Schizosaccharomyces pombe: one gene and its partner. The protein of the gene in region 2 interacts with the protein of the main gene of each other region in a pairwise test. Each region holds a gene or a part of one and is shown on either strand. Other genes may lie near its edges.

Region 1 (6,232 bases), on a different chromosome or scaffold from region 2:
TTTCTAATGATATTCTGAACATATTAATCACAAATATTCAAAATGCGTAAATTAAAACTATGGATTAGAAATAATGTAAAAAATGCTATAATACAAGAAATCGTTCGTTATACATCCTCAAGCTAAAGCTGTACTAATTTAGACAAAATGCGAACACCATCTACCACTAAAACTGTTAGTATTTGATGAACAATACAACTACGAAAGATCGACTTACACAAACCCCATCTAGCTGGGCACAGCACATCAATGACGCATTTTAATAATGGCAGAGTTTTACTTCGAACGTAGACATGATCTTTAGCTTTCTCACTGAGACCTGTTCTCATTTGCATAAGGTAGGCATTAAGTTGAGACTTGCAGTCGTTATTTCCCGGTTCAAGCATCTCGCACCTTCCATCCGAGACATACCCATAAGCCCAAAGGATTAAGGTCGAAACATATAAGCACCAGGGTCTATGAAGACCTGTTTCATTCTGAACATCATATTCCATATCACCTCCTAAAAAAGCTTCAACCATATCCACGGCGTGCTTAATAGATACTTCAGAATCATCAGAAGCTAACCAAGCAGAAACATAGCGCGATGTACTCGCATAGAGTCTTCTAGAAGTGGAGACTATTGATTTTGCATAGGTTTGTAAAGCAACTATGTTAGTATGCAGCGAAATATGAGCCAATTCATATGTAGCCAAACAGCCTCGCACGTAAGGATGATTGAGTGGTAAAGTACCATTATTTAGAAAGAATACACGGTAGGTACGAAGCCAAAACTTGTAAGATGCTTTAAGTAAAATCCTCCAGTTTTTCAAGTTGGTTCCATTGTTTTGCATGATATTTTCTACAATACCTTTAAAACCAGTTAGTTATTGAAATCGTTAAATTAGAAATTGCAATGCTCGTACCCAAATTCTCTCTACTTAATATCCAACCAATGGTAGTTAATCCGTGCAACACAATCATCATATTCCAAGGACTTAATTTAGGAGGAAGATGCTCGTTTGTTAAGAACATTTTCAAGACGGGAAAGAAATGGGGTGGATCGTTTTCATTTAAGAGAGATGTCCATGCTTCATAGCTATCGGCGTTCCAGAGAGCTTCATCACATAATAGAGGTAAGCCAACGCTAGTGATATCAATTAACGGTCTATATCCAAATAAAATAACATGCTGAGAGTCTAATACAAATGAAAAAAATGCGATTCTAATAGTGTTAATAACCATCACTTAAAGTCACCAGATAAATTACCTTTTCGAGGCTTCTCGATCAACCCACTGATGCCATTTGTGTTGTGCAATATTCGTTCCTGTCATGTTTTTTGGAATTTTCTCGGTGACGGTATCTTTTGAAGACAGCCCATTTTGCATAGACTAGAATTAGTTAGAGAAAGTATTATTTAATATAAAACGCTAATGTAACGAACCTCAATGGTCACACCATGAAAAATTTGAGAGAGGTTGTGTTGTTCCACAGTACTGGTCATTTTTTCAAAAATTTCAGCTATTAAGAGAGCCTGATAAACCCAAAGAGAGGCAGGAGGCTTGAAATCTGGATGCGTATAGATGGAAAATCTTAAAGTTGAATGAATGGAAACAGCAATGCTATATGCGAATGCATCACCAACGAAATGCATACCCATTGTAATCATTGCCAATAAAAGTTCTACAGGTGCTTCGTCAACTTTGAGTGTTCCTCGATGCAGGAAAGGCCACCGGGGGTGAAAATCCTTCCAATAATGAGCAATCCATAAGTTCACCCTACTGCGAGTTATATATTGCAACGCCTCTTCAGAAAGTTGATAATTATTATTCATTACTTGTATTAAAGATGAATATGCGGAAAGTGATAGTAGGTCTTTAGCAACTAGTTTGTCGTCAACTCTAAAATGCGAACTAAGAAAATCAATGGTCGGTGAATCTAAAACTGGCATTAAATTCAATTGCTTTGCATTGATACCATCGGTGAAATTTGAAACTGATTCTGTTGGGGCATCTTTCTCCATGTTATCAAAAAGCCAGCACACGAAGTTATCTGTATTTTGCTGGTAAGCATTAAACGGTGATGTTCCAAAAATAGATATGGAATCTTGAGGAGACAATGACTTATTAGCATTGTTTTTTATTGAAGGGGTTGATAAAAACTTGTTTTGCAAGTTAATTTGCTGGTCGCTTTCAGGAATGGTAATCGAGCCTGAAATGGAGTTATTTCGACGACTAGTGGTAAACATGTAATTGTTTCCCGTCTGTGCAATGGCAGATTGTAGACCTTCATTGAAATTATCGGAAATTATGGGCTGGTCAGGTAATATGGGTTGATCGATATGGCTTTTGAGGTCTGTATAAGCAGCATCCTGAACGTCGGCTTCGACATATGAGGGAAAAGGTAATTCTTGATCGGAAGATGAAATAAGTGTCTTATCATGTTTAGGATGCGTTTGGCTGCCAGCATCGTTCTGCTTTACATGCTTTTGGTTAACATGTCGATTTAGCACATCGCTCCTTGTAAACGAACTGGAGCAGTGAGGGCAAATAAAGGCTTTCGAGTTGGTATCTATAATTAGAAATTAGCGGTTTTATTGAAACAAAAGTCAATTGTAGCAAGTTTCAGAAGGTATGTTTGCTACTACCTATCCAATCCCACATTGCACATACGAGATCGAAAATGCCTTCGTGCATGCTCTTTCCTAGTGAAAGATTTAGTACAGCCTTGAAAATCGCATTTGTAACGAATATCTCCTTCTTGGTATGCACGACTTTTTTTCGCCTTGGTCATGAAGAAACGCAAGTAACCTCACTTTACAGAAAAATAGTGATTAAACAGATTCAACGCAATGATAGCTAACACCTATATTCAAAATTCGTGACAATACATTCAGAAAGAGAAATAAGAAAGAAGAAAAATCTACTTAATTTCCCTAGTCGCTCAAGGTCGTAGTTGTAAAAGACATTTAAATTAGAGGCGTACGACTCCGGATCCGCGGCGGGCAATTCTTCTTATCGAAATAAACCTTCTGGCTATTATACAGGGACTTGTTACCTTATATCTATACTAAGAACCCAAGTAATGTCAGAGCCCTCGTCTTAAGCACAAAATTTTCATCTAATTTTCAAATAAATACTATGTATTTGAGTGACTAATTGTATTGGTCATCTGGCTTGCAGTTGATATTTGAATAATAGTTAAGCTAGCACTACGCAAGATCTATAAACGCAACATTAAATTTCCAATTGCTAAGTTTTATATGTAGATTTATATTTTCTATCAACCCGCCTGTTAAACACTGGTATTTATTTCTATCTTCCCTGTAAATCACAACACTTTTCTGTGTGATCTTGTTAATTCAATGCCCTTTAAGATAAGCATGAGCTAATTTAATCGATTCTGATGCAGATCGGTGAATTGTTGTAATATTGAATACATCAATTCCTGTTCATCGCTATGTTTTAACCCCCGCTTTATCTCGTGATTTAGTGATACGTTATAGCTCGATAATAGCTTGCGTAGAGGGGGTTCTGGCTCAAACTACAGCTAAGCTATCTATCTAATCTCGCAACTCTTAGTCGCTAATCGGCAATGTATATTGAGGTGGATAACGGGGGTACCGGACTTATAGCATTTTGGTACGGGTTTGTATCAATGTCTAAATCAACTGTGTGAAGGATTTATTCGGACTATATAAGTAGTTAGCGTTGCACAGCTGTTTCTTTCGTACATTTAAATTCACTTTCACTTGCGTAACTTAGCTGTACATAGGTTTACAGTGGTAAAGGACAATTGACGCTTTTAATCCTTATACTGTTTTTTTACGATTAACATCTTTTGACGGTATAATCTAATTTTTGTTTTTTGTTTTTTTTTATTTAAAAACAAATTCGATTTTGACGCAAAGTGTGGTATTCCGTAACATCTGTTTAATAGCCTTTTGACCCGTTGATATATTAAAATGGCTTCCAACGTTGATAAATTTAGCTCTCGCTTCTATCTGAATGTCAATAAGGAGGAATTGAAGAAGGAGTATGTTGGCAAAACTATCCAACAAGTTCCTACCCCAGGCTTTGTGATCGACGAAGCCATATTCGAAAAGAACTGCAATCGCATGCTGGACCGTGCAAGTGATATAGGTGTTACTTTCAGGGCTCATGTGAAAACTCACAAAACGATTGAAGGAACTTTGCTTCAATTAGGCGATGGAAGAACTAAAGCAGTGGTGGTTTCTACATTGATGGAGGGGTTTTCATTAATACCTCTCATTTTAGAAGGAAAGATTGATGATCTTCTTTACGGTCTTCCTGTAGCTAAATCTAGGCTCCCTGAATTGTATGAGCTTTCTAAAATTGTCCCACATTTACGTCTGATGATTGATAATCCCAAACAACTAGACATATTACGTGAATTCACTTCCACATTACCTGATGATGCAAAACCATGGTCGATTTTTGTCAAGATCGATATGGGTACTCACCGGGCCGGTGTTACTAACGACTCACAAGTTGTTAAGGATTTGATATCAACGATCTTGTCTGACAAATCGTTGTTTGATCTTTTTGGATTCTACTGTCACGCTGGTCATTCATATGCTTCTAGGTCTATTGACGCTGCTTCTGAGTTCTTGTGTGCTGAAATTGACGCTGCTAATACTGCTGCTAAGTTCGCTACCTCCATTGATCCTTCCTTAAAACTTACTTTGTCTGTTGGTGCGACGCCCACCGCTCATTCCGTCAGTCCAAAGGTAAAAGAGTTATTACCTACTTTGAGTGGAAAACTTGAAGTTCATGCTGGAAACTATCCCATGAACGATGTTCAGCAAATGATAACCAAATGCATCAGCCAGGCGGACGTTGCCGATTACGTGTTTGCAGAAGTCATTAGCAATTATCCAGGTAGAAACGGTGAACCTGGTGAAGTTCTTGTCAATGCTGGTGTAATTGCCATGTCTCGCGAAACCTCTCCAGAAGGTGATTTTGGAATTGTAATTACTCCTGGATTTGAGAGTTTTTACGTCGACAGATTAAGTCAAGAACATGGTATTTTAAAATCCAAAGATCCAAAAGCCACTCTTCCTGACGCCTCTCAAGTTCTTTGCATCATCCCTAATCATTCATGTATCACTGCTGCTGCATTCCCTTGGTATTACATAACCAAAGGCTCAGATGTTATCACTGATATTTGGGTCCCTTGGAAAGGTTGGTAGATGACAAGCTGACTAAATTAGCTTTAATAATAGATTCCTGATCGTGGTTAGATTTCTGCTTAATACGCCTAGAATACTTTTCAAAAAATAATGAATTCAATATATCGCGGAAGTTGTGTTTCTCGAATAATGTATATTTTTTGTTGCTGTTTATTCAGTACTTGCTCTCAGTTGTTCAGCTATTTACCGAAAAGGTATTTCTGATATTTCCGATCTTTCAATTTTACAACGTAATTACTTGTATGTTTTTTTAAAACACCAGGAAAACGAAAGATGTTTGCAGATTAAAAATTACTACTGGTATTCAATATCAAAATAAGGCTAAAGATGTAAAGGTCGCATGCAATAAACTATATACTCGGACTGTGTCAGTACAATTTTACTAACACTTCATAAATGCTTCATAGCAGAGAGGGGCTTTTTGCAAAGCGATGAAATGAATAGGAATGTTGAAAAATGGCCAATGAAGGAACGTATTAAATACTATATAATAATGTTGGCGAAAGTTAAATTATAATAGATAACATAAAAAGTTGTTGAATAGTGTCGATATATGATTGCAAAGGTAGATCAACGTGGTAACATAATGCTTTTAATAGTTCGTATAGGCTGCTTGCCGAGTTTATGTCTAATACGAACCGCTAAATTCTTTAGCAGTAAAAGTCAAGGCGGAATCAAAGATCTCTATTGCTTTGTGAATTTCCTCATCGGTTACTGTCAACGGCGGAGCGATGCGGAAAACTCCACCAATTCCCCTCAAATGAACGATGTTACAGTTCATACCTAATTCCAAACATTTATCTCCAATTACAGTTCCCAAAAAATCACTAGGTTTGCTAGGATCTGTACAAGAAGCAATTTCAATACCTTGCAACAGACCCAGACCGCGTACATCAACAATCAAAGGATGCTTATCCTTTAGACGAAGGAGATCGGATCTAAGTAGTTCTCCTGATATTTTTGCTTTTTCAACTAAGTTATCTCGTTTTACCACCTTCAAAACTGTAGAGCCTATCGCAGCTGGAAGGGGATCGGAAGCA
Region 2 (8,211 bases):
CGTTTGGGTGCCATTCATTCTGTTATTTTTGCTGGTTTTTCTGCAGAGTCTGTTGCAGACCGTGTCAATGATTCTGAGTGTAAAGTTATCATTACCGCTGATGAAAGTCATCGTGGTGGTAAACGAATCCCTTTAAAGGGTGTCGTTAACAAAGCCCTTACCGAATGTCCTACCATCAAGAAGGTACTCGTCTTCCAACGCTCTGCTGAGCCTACCGCCAGTATGGTTGAAGGTCGTGATGTCTGGTGGCACGATATTATTCCAAAGTTCCCCCGGTATTGCCCTCCTGCAGTCGTTAATCCAGAGCATCCCTTGTTCCTTCTCTACACTTCTGGAAGTACAGGAAAACCCAAGGGTGTCGTACATTGCACTGGTGGTTACCTTCTTGGCGCTGCTGCTACTTGCAAATACGTTTTCGATTTGCATCCCACGGATCGTATGGGTTGTGCTGGTGATGTCGGTTGGATTACTGGTCATACCTATATTGTATACGGCCCCTTAATGCTTGGTGCTGCTACTCTTGTTTTTGAAAGCACACCAGCTTACCCTGATTACTCTCGTTACTGGAGTGTCGTTGAGCGTCACAGACTGACTCAATGGTATATTGCACCAACTGCCATTCGTCTTCTTCAACGTGCCGGTAATGAATTTGTCAAGCACGATCGCTCTTCTCTTCGTGTCTTGGGTAGTGTTGGTGAACCCATCGCTCCAGAGTCATTTATGTGGTACTACGAAGTAGTTGGTGAGAAAAGATGTGCTGTTGCCGATACTTATTGGCAGACTGAAACAGGTTCTCACATTGTTACTTCTTTGGGACCTGTGACACCCATGAAGCCTGGTTCTGCTACGTTACCCTTTTTCGGTATCGATGCAGTCATCATTGATCCCTTGACTGGCAAGATCATTGAAGGCAACGATGTTGAAGGTGTTCTTGCTATCCGCAGTCCCTGGCCCAGCGCTGCTAGAACTGTTTGGCGCGGTCACGATCGTTACATCGACACCTACTTGAAGCCATATCCTGGGTTCTACTTCACCGGTGATGGTGCTACCCGCGATAAAGATGGTTACATTTGGATTCGTGGACGTGTTGATGATGTTGTCAACATTTCCGGCCATCGTCTGAGTACAGCTGAAATCGAGGCTGCTTTGTTGTCTCATGACGCTGTCGCAGAATCCGCTGTTGTTGGTGTTCATGATGAGCTAACCGGTCAAGCCGTCAATGCCTTTATTTTATTGAAACCTGGCTATGAAGCTACAGTCGAACTTGAAAAGGAGTTGATCATGGCGGTTCGATCGACAATTGGCCCCTTTGCATCTCCACGCAAGTTAATTTTCAGTGATCTTCCAAAAACTAGAAGTGGTAAAATTATGCGCCGCATTCTCCGTAAGATTTTGGCTGGTGAAGTCGACCAGATTGGAGACTTGAGTACCTTGGCTGACCCTAAGGTTGTTGAGCACATCATCCATGCTGTTCATTATGCCCATCAGAAGAAGCCCTAGACTACTCGATAATTAGATGTGCGGTGTATATGCTTACTTCTATATAATAATGAGGCGTGTGATACTTTATTTACCAACGTTCCGAAGACCTCACTTATTTAATGTATCTTGTAAAAGTTGGAAGATTTATCGTTCGCGCTAATGAAAGCATATTATGACCGTCATGACTAACGTTATCGCACAGGTTTAGATGTTCACTTTATTTTTGGAGTGCCTGTGTCAAGTTTTTTTTTTTTAGAAAAATCTCTATTAATGGCACTTATAAAAGGTAGCTATGAATTTAAAATGTTGAAGGGGGTTTAACAAATAAAACACCTTTTGCGTACTACAAAAAGTTCATACGGCTAGTGTGAGCGTCTTTTTCATGAAACAGTAAAAGTAAACTATCTTATTGTAGCATACTGAAGAGCCGAGTAAAGAAAGCAATATAAAGATAACTGCACAATTAGGTACATCAATATCGATAGTACGTATGAGTGATAATTACACAATGTCTGTAAGAGAAGCTTCATTCTGATATTGGTAATAACATTACTACTACAATGGAAAATATGAATATGAGAAATCTGTTATTCACTTGAACTAACCAAACAAAAGGAATCTCATTATCAAATCCAACAATAATACTTGCATAATTGGCGGCTACTCACATACGGGTTGTTTTCGAAAATAAGGGCACGAACAAGAAAATCATATAACATATACCAAGACAAAGATCACTTGCCGTAAAACTAGGCCTATTTAAGTCATAACCCGCGCAAGTCATCATAAACGTTCAGCATCACAATAATTAAAATCGTTACAAAAATAGCCATAGAACATTTCAGATGGCTAAGGAGTAAGTATCATGAATCATAAAATTTAGTTTCACAACTAAAAAAAAGGGTTTCAGCTCTAGTAGAATTCTCTTCCATAAGTAATAAGCCGAATCGTTATTGGGTTGTCGGGACAAAAGAAAGTGTAGTTTCACCATAAGGACAAAACATAAAAGATTTTCCTGTCAATTGAAGAACATAGGAAACAATTCCCTCAATTGATTTTAAAGATTTCCATTTCGAGTTTGAGCCAACTCGGTGAGAGCCTGAAAATATCAATTATGAAGGTACTCTAGAGAGGATGGCTTCCCAAAAAAAATTAAACAGGGTGAGAAAACAATAAAAAAAATACCTAGTAAAGAAGAGGCGGGAAAGCATTTGATGGATTTAAAAAAAAACGAAAAAAGTCTGCTATAATTTTCTAAGCCTTAATTTCTTCTTCTTCTTCTTCATCGCTATCACTTGCAATAGCCTCTTCAACAGGCGACTCTGGAATTGCCTCTTGAGCCGGCGAAGGAGGGGCTTCTTTTTGTTCTCCAGGAGTAGGCATATCGTATCCTACAACGTTACAAAACTGTCTCCACAAATGGATCCTGGCAGGGTCCATAGAAGAGATACTCAGACGTTTTGGAGTAGATGTTGCCGATGAAGTAGAGCCATGTGACGCCGACCTCTGATGACCCTGTTCCTCATTGCTGGGAAAGGATAACATAATATTTCGGGTAGTCATTAGAAAATCAGCGTCTGGAACCTCCGCACGAGACTTTTCAAGCCATAATTCCATCAATTGTGTAAACTTTGGTTCGCTGATGGTGTCCCGAACGTTGCGAAAAAACTGATCATTGCATTTAGCAAGGTCCCTCATCTCAGCCGGTCTGTCGTGAAAAGGAAGCAAGATACCCTGACGAATGGGCTGTAAGTCGATATGGACATTTGTACTAAGACGACGAGTAACCATTGTTGAACTATGAAAAAAGCAGGGGACAGCAGTAAAGATAATTCGGTAGTTGAGAGTTTCACAAGAAACAAGAAAAGAAGCTTATAAGAAAAAGGAAAACGTTTTAATATTTAATGGTTTTATTGAACGGAAGATTAAGAAATCTCAACCAAGTAAGAATATTTATGAAACGAGCCAAAAAAAATTCTTGAACAAGTTAAAGAAATCAAAAGACACACAAACAATGGAAAGTTAAGAACCCCAACAAAGATGTGTATGTATCAATGAACAGAAAACTTTAGAAGAAAAAGATTTCGGATAATAAGACTTTAATTTGCGGAATCACCCGAAAGATTCGACGGAATTTTCCTCAATACGTAAGTAGAAGAGTGTTTCTTCTAAAAAAAAAAAAATTTCGAAAACAAACTAAATTCCGTTTCTTTTAAAACAATCAAACTCAGTTTGCAATGAATTCTCAATGAATCGTCAGCCAAGAAAATACTTTGCAAGCCACAATACTGTAAGGAAAGGGTGTAAATCGAAAGTTGAGCAAGCCAAAGCGAAACACAAGAAATTATCACAGAAGATAGATTTATTATAACCTGAAGCAAGGAAAATAAAAGCAGTGCTTGTTAGTGTACCAAATCAGTAGGAGAATGGGTAATATGCTAACGGAAGGTAAGTTGGCAGCGCTACAGCCTTGATCGTCTAAAGAATACGTAAGTGACGTGGAGAGAAGTGTGGGGAAGCCATTCTAAGAATAGCGTGTCATAGCGAGTCGTTAAACAGGGAATGAGAATGAGAGTCAAAGAGCTTGGTTTTTCAAGGTTATTGATATTACAGACCGAGATTTTTTAATGAAACATGTTTAGACATTCGAAAGATGAAGGACGGTATTTTTTTTTCCTCCTGTAAAGAACAGTAAAGGTGGAGATATTGTTGACTAGCTAATTCATTTACACCCTGCGTACTGAAGACGACACTTTTTCAACAAGTTGTTTTTACTTAGTCGCCATAGCTTCCAACAAAAAGTTTCATGTTGCATAGTAGTTGTCGAGAAATCTCTCCTTTGTGGGAAGCGTCTAGCTTCTATTGTTTTTACAGACGAATGTGAAATGATCAACCAAATAAGGCTCCGTAGGGATTTTGGTACAAGTACAAGCGATGAGTTATACCAACGAATATGATAAGGGAGGAAACGAGCGATTGACTCGTGGCACAGGAAATAGGGAGAAGATTGGTAAATGGGATTTTATAGAGCATTGCGAAATCTTCACTAAGAGTGTAAATGGAATGAAAAGTCGTCACCTACTACTTTCAAACTTTTCATGTATTCATGTCAAACTTACAAGCTGACATCTTGATGACTTGTTGGAAAGAGAGAAAATGGAAAATTGCTACTATGACAGAGAATATTAAAAACAACAATAGGATAACGAGACAAAAGACACTATGCAAAAATATTTAAAAAAATGTATAAGGAACTTCAAAATACGAAAAATACAGTATCAAAAGATTTATACACACAACGTTGTGTAACAGTATAATTGTTTAGCGAGAGGTTTGTTAAAATGTGTTTTATGGAGCGTGTTACGAGGCAGCTAATGAAAGAACTCTAAATCGCAAAAAAATATTGTGCGTCTTTTTAAGTATTTCGATAACAGTTATAACAAACATTAACGCTCTAGCAATCGTTATATAAGGAAATATAGAACATCGTAAAAAATATCATAACAATCCATAAAGCTGTAGCAATCATAATATAAGGAAATGTAAAGAAAGCATCCTAAAAATCTATTTTAATATTCTTTTCCATATATAGATAAAAAATGGGTAATTTTTGGTAGTATGGATAAATATGAAAAAGCCATATGTTGGGATTCATGTGATTCCCTCAAAATGTAAGTCTTTTCAAAAAAAATTTAAATCCCCCCAAATACTCTTTATATTCCGTTTTCGGTTCTCTGCATTCTATTCCTTCTATGGTACTTCTGCTTCCCTTTCTCATTCTTTTCCCTTTTTCCACCAGTCATGCAGTCATTATGACTTATAGGATGGAAAGCAACGTTTTGGAAATGAAATGCAACGCAAACTACGAGCATGTCGGAATGCCATTCTGCAACTTTTTTTTTACGCCATTCAAGGGAAAAGGTGGATGATGAAAAAATGATATCTTGGCAAAAGTAGAATTCCAGTATGAGTGTATTAATAACGATATTAAGAAAAAAATAAATAAATTTAAAAGATTAATGATTTCAAAAAAGGTAAACGATAATTCTTGGATGATCTTCTCTACAAACGGCTTTTTCTTTTTATTTACTATTAACTATTAGAGAAACTAACTAGTTTCTCTCGCTCTCTCTCTCTCTCTCTAATGAAAATCCTTCCTCTCATCATACTTGGCGCATTCCAACGCACTTGATATAATTTATACTATAACGTACTACATTTGATGTCCCTATTCTACCTCTTCTCTCCTCTCAAACTCCCTCCCCCCTCTACTTTGCATCCATTAGTCTCTCCTCTCATTCACCTCCTTAATACGATATCATAAAAATGAGGTCCTCCCCTTTCCATCCCCCGACTCTCCACTTTTTGCCCACGTCATTCTCGGACTAACAAGTTGGCTGGTTCTGCTGTCGCATCGGATTGGTTGCCGCTGATGTAGTGGATTGGCTACTGCGACATTTTTCGGTAAGAAGGAGGAACGCGCCACTCCGTTATTGGCGGAAAAGTTCCGTGTCTAGTTGTGCATTACGTTAAAATAAGCTAATCAATCTACTTCTCTTTGACGTCGATTTTGTGGGGTAAACCCCTGTCTTCCAATGGAATGTTTACGTTGGTCGTTTCGCCGCCTTTCGTTGGTTTATTGGGTTTCTGCCATTTTTGGTGGCCCGCTTGCTCGCTTCGATGGAAGAGTCGCTAAGAATTTTTTTTTTCTATATAAAGGCCTTGGATTGATGGTCTTTGGTTCATCAATTCAACATCCCATCTTTACATTCACTTCACTTGGTTTAAGTCAAGTCAAACTTTTCATATAGTTAGTCTCTATAACGTACTCTACCGAATACCTTATAGTCTACGATTTTTTACAAATTCTCTTGATTTTCTAAAAAAACTCTCATTTCTTTACATTCTTACTTTTTTACATTCATCATGCCTTTCCGTGCTGCTCTTCGTAAAGTCCCCGTCGAACTCTATCCTTTAGGTGCTGCTGTAGCTACTGCTGTTGGCTTTGCTACATATAGCATGGGCAAGAAATTGCTCGCAGACCCCAATGTTCATATCGATCCTACCGTTCGTCGTACCATCTAAAACCACCTGGGTTTTTATTGATTTGGCGCGATCGAAACATAGCCATGTGTCCGATTATTATGATCGACTCTGATCGATTTGGATCGACCTCTTATCAACTTTGATCAATCCTAATTCGTCTTTAAATATGCTAGCGCCTTTTGGATGGAAACATACTTTGTTCGTTTCGTTTAAAATGAAAAGAAAAGAACAAATATTTTTTACTGTTAAAAAGCTTTGTTTGAATTCTTAAAAACGCACACTTCTCTGTGTTTTTGAAATTTTATGCATTGAAATAAATTGCTTTACAGCTTCTCTTGATGACAGAATTAAAACCATTTTGCAATGAAAAGAAAAATTATTGCGATTGGAATTTTTTTTCGTTTGTTTATAATTCACATTCATTTCTCTCATCATTGCTGTGAAAACCATTTCATCAACCCCCTTGTCTGTTTGATTGCTCTGTTTTGCATTTGAATTTCCATTCTTCATACTTGTTTGTTCTTAAAAAAAAAAAAAAAGAAGAATTGGATTTTGTGTAACACTTTGCTAATTTTATTATGTGCCTTTATTAAATTTTGCATTCTTTGCTTCTTTTTTTCCAATTTGCACTGTCCATTATTATAATCCTTAATATTCCTTTGTACTGTTAGTTTTAATATTGATTAATGTTTTATTTTTCCAAATATTAAAAAGTTGTGTAAATAAAATGTATGAGTAAGTGTAGCGAGTGATACTTGTTTAATAAGTATAGACTTTGTATAGCGATTCAAGTCTTGCAATGTCTAGTTATATAGTTGAATACAATGCGAAATTGGCAATGCCATAGCCAGAACAATTACAATGGTAGAGCAGTGTTAGTTGTATATGGATACATTAGTTAAATAACTAGTTTGAAAAAAAAAAAAAAATAGTTCAAAACAAAAAGCAAAAAGAATAAAAGGAAGCCTACAGCACCCCGGATTCCCATGTTGTCTCCAACCATAGTACTAACGAGGCCCTCAGACGCTTAACTGCAGTGATCGGACGGGAACTGGTGTTTTCGCCTAGGTATGGCCGTAGACATTCGCAGTGTATAAAGGTAGATTTTATTGTGTAAACTAAACAAAAATTTATAGTTGGTATTTTGCTATAAACAATGACTTAAATTCATACTTATAACAGTAAACACATTAAAAAAAAAGAAAAACACTTTCAAAGAGATAAAAAGAATTCCGGTCAGGGAGGGACTCGAACCCTCGACCTCACGATTAACAGTCGTGCGCAATAACCAACTATGCTACCCGACCTGTTGTTATTATCCACAGTATTATGTCTTACAGAAGGTTATACAACTTTCTTCACTTGAACCACCAACGAAGAAAAAATAATAGAATTTGTTTATGGTCTAACGACTCTTTATCCTTAAACTACCAGACATCCATTTTGTATCACAGTTAATCATGAACCTAAAAACCAACTTTTAATTGAACTTGCTCATCTTGATATGGAAAACAAACAGTGTTAATATTCTCATGATGAAACAACACTACTGAAAGAATAGATGAATTGAAATGAAACTTTTAATCAACAAGATTTTATTGAGAAAAACGAACATTAATGAAAGTTTATTAGGTACTGAAATTTCTAACATTATTTACAAACAACTATCTATTAAGCATGACT

The links. Proteins that work in one complex are often made in the same cells at the same time.
Region 1: the proteins of SPOM_SPCC191.01 (region 2) and SPOM_SPAC1039.06 interact in a two-hybrid assay, tested with the Schizosaccharomyces pombe proteins (one large-scale study listed by BioGRID).

Annotation. Positions count from the first base shown.
Region 1 is NC_003424.3:5,456,623-5,462,854, forward strand, and holds SPOM_SPAC1039.06 (D-serine ammonia-lyase activity), read left to right. Parts: upstream 1-3,709; 5' UTR 3,710-3,944; coding exon 3,945-5,192; 3' UTR 5,193-5,732; downstream 5,733-6,232. Other genes in the region: DNA-binding transcription factor, zf-fungal binuclear cluster type Klf1, read right to left, coding at 123-166, 218-850, 906-1,204, 1,250-1,371, 1,425-2,551, 2,653-2,773; SPOM_SPAC1039.07C (alanine-glyoxylate transaminase), read right to left, coding at 5,821-6,232. UniProt on the Schizosaccharomyces pombe protein: Catalyzes the conversion of D-serine to pyruvate and ammonia. May play a role in D-serine detoxification.
Region 2 is NC_003421.2:1,701,523-1,709,733, reverse strand, and holds SPOM_SPCC191.01 (uncharacterized protein), read right to left. Parts: upstream 3,923-8,211; 5' UTR 3,274-3,922; coding exon 2,737-3,273; 3' UTR 2,000-2,736; downstream 1-1,999. Other genes in the region: acs1 (acetyl-CoA ligase), read left to right, coding at 1-1,500; SPOM_SPCC417.16 (NADH:ubiquinone reductase complex subunit), read left to right, coding at 6,409-6,567; SPOM_SPCC417.15 (uncharacterized protein), read left to right, coding at 6,892-7,023.